2 linked regions of the Yarrowia lipolytica genome follow. The protein of the gene in region 1 interacts with the protein of each later gene in a biochemical or structural test. Links are inferred from orthologs where the notes say so. Each region holds a gene or a part of one and is shown on either strand. Other genes may lie near its edges.

Region 1 (4,009 bases):
GATGACGCTGACTTGAAGGTGCAGAGTGTAACAAGAAATCTTCACTGTGACAGTCAATCTTCTCGCAATTGGAAAGTGTTTACACAACTAGAACCGTTCAATGATGATATGCCTCAAAAATTATAATAAGAGATCTCCTAGGTGAAACATTTGATTCAGTTTAATTGGTTTTTGCAAACTCTCGGGGTATTTTTGGGTCCAGCAAGGTTGGTCATCACGTGGGATCGACCCCATTGATCTGATAAAATCCCCAGACTTTCCATTGGCTCACTTGAGTGGAGTAACAAATAAGTCCTCGTACCAAGGACACCTCGGCAGCCATACAATCGGAGATATAGCCTGTATTGGACATGTATGCAGGCCGAAAGAGTCACATTTAATATTTCAATAAGTACGATGCGAGTACTCATTCATACATACTGTACTTGTGCTGGGGTTTACAGAATCAAGATGAGGCTCTCATTGGCCCCTCTTCTGCCTGCCTGCCCATTCAATCCGACCTCCAAAAAAAGCAATATGCTCAGTTAGATCACCTTACTGTACAGTAGTCCTAATTGCTCATAAATGACCTAAAGCGGAACGGCAAAAATCACGCTATCGAGTACATAATAGTGTACGGTCGACGTTCCAACATGACACGAGGCTCCATGATACTTGCGCTGTGTGCCATCGATGTTTTGTCAACATGTGTCATCGGGGTTTGTCAACATTCCGCTGTGTATTGATGCATACAGAGCTGCGCACCACAGTTAATTAGATCTAAGAAAAAGGACCGTAGACCCTACACGCCTGCTACTACTGCCGGTACCGATTTATAATTGTAGTGCCCTCTGGAGTACCCGCTCTATCCGTGCGACTCGCTCAGAATAAATGAACTCTGATCTGGTTTGTGTTCAAATCGAGTGGAACCACGACGAGGAACGAGGGGAACAATCGAGACGAAGGTCAAGGTAGCAGTTCGGTCATATGAGTATCCAATTGAGAGGATATCACAGTGATGAAAGCGGCAGAAGAAGTTATATAGAGATGTTCTCATATGTTGCGGGATGGAAGAGAACAGGCTGCACAACTCTGCCCCTGAGATCATGAGCTTTTCAATGAGACATTGTAATCCACTCTTGGATCCTAAATGCTTGTTCCTGTACTTGTACCTATAGATTCTGTTCAGGTCTCGATTTTGAAGACGCTACTACTGTAGAGTATGGGACTTGTACTTTTACTTGTTGTCGTGCAATAGAAGCTAACCTGCTATGGAACCATGTCAATGAATAGGCCACGAGACCACCAACATGTCTATAAATATTACAATAATGCCTTCGATATAAGTAACAATTAGAATCATTTAATAAATACGACGCTCTTATGGGGTATCTAATACATACTGTACGGTAAAGTTCCAGGTATACAGTAGTAGCGCATACAAACATGTATGAGATTGATGGCAGCAGAAAATTGTGATGATTACGAGTCCGTCGTACCAATACAGAGCCATCGTGTATCCATCTTTTCCCTTCCTCTCACCTCTCCTTCGATCCTCGGTGTCGGTTTTGATCCATCTTAGACTGTCTGCTTCTTGGTGGACCGTAGGTCGTCGCATTGCTGCAACACGAGACTCACATTCAGTACAAGAAGCATGCAAGCTACTGTAACCCAGTAACAAGTAAAAGTACAACTACAAGTACAAGTACAAGTACAGTATGTACAGTACATACAGTAGAGACTAAAGACACAATATAACATGTCCCACACTCAATAGTCCATCTCTCCTCGCACCAAAGACCAATCTACCCCAATCTCCATACTACAAGTCACAGTTGCTCGTATCATGTTACACGACATGTGGAAAGGCAAACTTTGACTTGTCTCTAAACACGTCACGTAAAACGAAATTACCTGGTACACGTAACCTGGTATTTTCAAGATAATAGACGGATATTGGCAGGAAGTGTGGGTCAGGTGACTTCTCCGACACCCAAGCACCCCCCTCCCCAAGCGAGATATATATGCATCTCCACCCATCCCCACATGTACACCTTCCTACATTGTCGTGAGGTTTTGACAATAAACTTCGACAAGACACAACCTGTCATCTTACAACCTACGACACAATGCCCAACTGGACTGTGGATCCTGCCAACAAAAAACGGCTTCTGGCGCTGCAGAAGGACGGTGCCAACAAAAAATGTTTTGACTGTGATGCCCCCAACCCGCAATGGGCCTCCCCCAAGTACGGCATCTTCATCTGCCTGGAGTGCGCCGGAGTGCACAGAGGTCTGGGAGTGCATATCTCGTTTGTGCGATCTATCTCGATGGATCAGTTCAAGCCCGACGAGATGGAGCGGATGGAGAAAGGTGGCAACCAGCGGGCCCACGAGTTTTTCGACAAGGCCGGTATGGCCAGAGATACTCCCATCAAGCAAAAGTACAACTCGGTGGTGGCTCGAAATTACATGAACTACCTAACCAGTGAGATCGAGGGCACCGAGTACGTCCCCGAGAAGGAGGGTGCCACCCCCAGTGTTGCCCCCTCCAAGTCACGTGACTCCAGTCGATCTGGCGAGTCCGATCTGACTCCCCAGGGCTCTAACGTGGCCTTTTTCGAGGGTCTGGGTGCTAAGAACGCATCTCGATCTGCTGACGTTCGACCTTCGGAGGGCGGCAAGTACTCCGGATTTGGCAACACTCCCGCTCCCGTCTCGTCCAACAACCGACCCGGTGCCACCATCACGATGGACAACTTCCAGGCCGATCCTCTGGGCACTCTGACCAAGGGCTGGGGTCTATTTTCCAAGACCGTCAGCCAGATGTCGACTGAAGTCAACAACCAGTACATTAAGCCTACTGTCCAGAACATCCAGGAGTCCGAGTACACAAAGACTGCTTTGGAGCACGCACAGAAGCTGGGAGAAACCGTTCAGAAGGAGAGTAAACGGGGTCTGGACCGGTTCCACGAGTTCGTGGAGGGCAACGAGGGCGATCCCCAGGGCTACAGCCGACCCGGCGAGTCGCGAAACCTGATCCAGTACGAGGACGAGTCCGATGAGGATCCCTTTTCTCATCTCAAACCCAAGGGTAAATCCAACATGACTGGATTCGGAAAGACTGCCGACGGTGAGGACTGGGGCGAATGGAACGAGTGGGACGACGATGGAGTGGAGGACGAGGACGAGGACGAGCAGGTGGCCAAGGTCACCAAGGACGCTGTTCCCCCTGCTGCTGCTCCTTCGGCTACTGAGGCCCCCAAGGCGAAGAAGCCCTCTGCCAAGGAGCGAGCTCTGGCTGCCAAGGCTGAGGCCGAGAAGGCTGCCAAGGAGGCTGAGGCAAAGGAGAAGACTGAGAAGGTTGATGGAGCCGAGGAAAAGGAGGCTGAGAAGGTCGAGGAGCAAGACAAGGAGCCTCTTGAGGAGGTTGAGCCCGAGGCTGAGCCCGAGATGGAGCCCAAGTCTAAGAAGGATGATTAGATGTATTATAGATAGAATAAGCGTTGTATACAACTGTGTAGGGGGTCAATGTTGCTGTGGTTCTGCATACTGCTCGTCGGTCTCTTTTGGCCAGAGCTTTATAGGAGAGTAGGAAGATACTGTATACTTTTATATGCATACTGGAGTAGATGAAATCACTGGTGATAAATCATTGGTGTCATTGAGGCACCGCAAGCAATGGGGCATTTCAAGCTCATGGACACCCGCACATCCAAGAAGAAATCACAAGATGCCCAAACACAGTTCATTAACCCCTAAGAAGATCCTCCTACAGTGTGTGTGTCCAGTATGTACGTTCCACACTAAACAATATAAAAAAAAAACACTCGCGGATAGAGATTATAAAACATACAAGATGCGAAGAAAAATTGTATGCTGCTCATTTCAGAGAAAAATCGTCCTTCCCTACACCAACACAATCACCGTCTAAAGCCTTCTCTCGTCTCTCTGGCTTACCCTACCAACCCTATCCCAGCATGCATATCGTGCATGACCGACACCACCATCACCATTCTCATCACGACAAT
Region 2 (2,972 bases), on another chromosome or scaffold:
AGGCTAACAAAATCTTAGCCAGGGAGGTTTTGCCCGAGTTGGGGGGTCCAGCAATGAGAACTCTAGGTCCAGCAACGTCCTTGGGCTTCTGTTCAGCCTCATTCCGCATCTTCTCCAGAGCAAAGTGCAGGTTGATAGCCATGGTCATGTGGGGAGTGTCTTCGGTTGTGTAATCAGACATCAATCCCTTGGGTCCTGCAATTGCCGTGTATACGAACTGGCAGCCCTGCCATGTGTAAATGCTTCCTTTTCCTTGGATACTGAGCTCCTTGTTAGGTGGCAGCTCTGTACCGAAGATTTCAGCGGTTCCAGATTTCAGCGTGACATGTAAGGTTCCCCCGATGGCCACTTCGTATCTCCATTCCGTCTCTGGTTTGAGGTCGATGGTATGAGTGGATTCTGTAGTGTTTGTCTCAGTTGTTGAGAAGTTGAGGCCAGGTAGCGACATAGTTATTAGTGGTGTTTGTCAGAGTGTCAGGTCTTTTTTTTGGGTCAAGTTAGTTTCATGCATGCCGAATATATCATACAGTTCGTGAAGTAGTAAGATTAGTCAGCCCGCAGAAGTTTGCATAAAGTTTCAGTGTGTGAACCATTGATACTGAGACCGAATCGATATCACCTTCAACGACATGTCTCTCAGCGCACAAGCGGAAAGCCGAAAAGAGAAGCTCGCGCGTATGCGGGCTCTCCGGGAGGGCAAGAAGGTCGATCCCGTGGAGGCCGAGGTTGCTACACGGGAGGAAAAGCCAACGTGAGTATGGGGATGGGGAGATGCGATACGACTTGAGGTGACACGGGGAATGGTCTTGGATGAAGAAAGAGAACAACATCGAGCATTCGCTAACATAGATTCAAGGAACGAAACTTCGATCTGGAGACGGAGTCGACCAAACTGGGATACGATGCCAACCCGACAGAAGGACAGGAGACTGTTGAGCTGCTAGGAGCTGAGGAAGAGGCAAGGACGATCCAGGAGCTGATGGAGAAGAACCAATCTGCAGTGGACTATCTAAAGTTGCAGCCGAAACGAGCCAACTGGGATCTGAAGCGAGACCTCCAGGAGGATCTGGATCAGCTTGACAGAGAGACTGATCAAGCTATTGATGTGCTGGTTCGGGAGCGAATTCGAAAGGCTACTGGGGAGGAGACTGAGGGGTGAATTGGCTCAGTCTATTTGTATTTTTACGTAATATTTATTTGCATCTTCATGAGACGAATGGGAAAAAAGTGGTTATCCAAAATAGTTCGAGTAGCTACTGCTGGAGAGAGGTCATGGCTATGGACGCGCTTGCGTATTATAGTATCTGTGTAGGGTACGATGGGTAGAAAAACACCAAACTACAAGTATTGTTGCAGCATAGCTACGTGTATCTGGACACGAATTTGACCCAATTTATAGATCGAACACTCCTATATACAATATTAGCCAAGACGCTATACAATCCCTTTGTTGGATCTCTCACGAAAGTTAAGCAGCGATTTACTGTTCTGAGGTGATTATACAGGTCAAAAGTGGGGAAAAAGAAGGCTGATTCTGTATTGAAGGAAACATACGAGTCATCCGAACGGCCCGGTTCACCATCAACCGTTGTAGACGATTCGTATCCCTGCCGTAGTGTGTCTAGTTGCAAAGAACATAAAGTTGCCACGTGATGTGATATAGTAAGTGCTACATCATCACAATGACACTAACCTTCCTCGGCGCAAAGAACAAGACACAGCATACAGGATGGGTGAGTAAGAGTGAGAAGGGGTGGGGATGGAGTTACTGCTGGCGACTTCTATGAAGCCAAGCCTCGTGAACAATGACAGCTGGGACGAAACAGGACTGACACGACCATCTGACCCTCTACTAACCCAGGAAACGTTCTAGGAAGCATGTTCAGCCGTGTGTGGGGAGGCAACAAGGAGATTCGAATCCTGATTATTGGATTGGACGGTGCCGGCAAGACCACCATTCTGTACCGGCTACAGCTTGGTGAAGTTGTGGACACAGTCCCCACCATTGGTTTCAACGTGGAAACCCTGACTTACAAAAACCTCAAACTCAACGTGTGGGATCTCGGAGGACAGACCAGTATCCGACCATACTGGCGATGCTACTACGCCAACACAGCTGCTATCATTTTTGTGGTCGATTCCACCGACAAGCAGCGAATCGACATGTGCAAGGAGGAGCTGCATTCCATGCTGGAGGAGGACGAGTTACAAAACGCAGTGCTGCTCGTTTTCGCCAACAAGCAGGATCAGGAGGGAGCCATGACCGCGGCGGAGGTATCCACTGCTCTCGATCTCGTTTCGCTCAAGGATCGAAGCTGGAGCATCATGCCCTGCAGTGCTCTGAAGGGAGAGGGTCTTAGTGAGGGTCTGGACTGGCTCACTGGTGTTATTAAGGAGGAGGTATTGTAAAAGGACGACTATCAAATGCGAACGCGCGGCGTGTCATAAGTCATTTCAGGTCCTTACTAGACTGTGTAGTTAACGACAATATGAATGTTTACATATACACGTAGGGCGTGGGACTGTGGGAACCCAGAGAGTTTGTTCACTGGTAGCTACAGTAGTGAGAGGCACGAGGGCCCAATGTTTTGTAATGAGAGACTACCTTGTATGGGTGTGGTTTGTATTGTGCGGTGATCAGTTTATTCAGGATCAGATCAGAGAGAGCCATGCTGACTTATACACAACATGTGTCTAACGAGTACTGCTGGAACTCGATAAAGGAGCTTATAACGTAACCCGTTCCCTGTCACATATACTCACTCAAATACCGGCCACTGGATGGACGTGTGATCCCACCATATGCAGTTGTTAAACCGTTGAATACAGACATATCCGAGTTAAGACATTCAAGACGCTGAGAGCTTATCCTCTGGGGGAAATTAGAGGCTGATGAATATTGTGGCTGATCTGATAGTAAAACGAGAATTTTAGGAGTCTTGAAAGCCTTGTACGCATTTGAAATTGTAGTA

What was found.
Region 2: the proteins of YALI1_C03988g (region 1) and YALI1_F38670g form a complex in vitro, tested with the Saccharomyces cerevisiae proteins (2 studies listed by BioGRID, with this or other methods). The link is inferred for Yarrowia lipolytica from reciprocal best matches to the Saccharomyces cerevisiae genes GCS1 and ARL1.

Annotation. Positions count from the first base shown.
Region 1 is NC_090772.1:396,926-400,934, reverse strand, and holds YALI1_C03988g (uncharacterized protein), read left to right. Parts: upstream 1-2,108; coding exon 2,109-3,461; downstream 3,462-4,009. Other genes in the region: YALI1_C03969g (uncharacterized protein), read left to right, coding at 3,959-4,009. UniProt on the Saccharomyces cerevisiae protein: GTPase-activating protein (GAP) for ARF1 and ARF2. Involved in intracellular vesicular transport. Required for transport from the trans-Golgi network.
Region 2 is NC_090775.1:3,865,919-3,868,890, reverse strand, and holds YALI1_F38670g (uncharacterized protein), read left to right. Parts: upstream 1-1,729; coding exon 1,730-1,733; intron 1,734-1,861; coding exon 1,862-2,409; downstream 2,410-2,972. Other genes in the region: YALI1_F38684g (uncharacterized protein), read right to left, coding at 1-448; YALI1_F38680g (uncharacterized protein), read left to right, coding at 630-751, 850-1,159. UniProt on the Saccharomyces cerevisiae protein: Recruits golgins such as IMH1 to the Golgi. Can bind and hydrolyze GTP. May be involved in trafficking events within the endosomal system.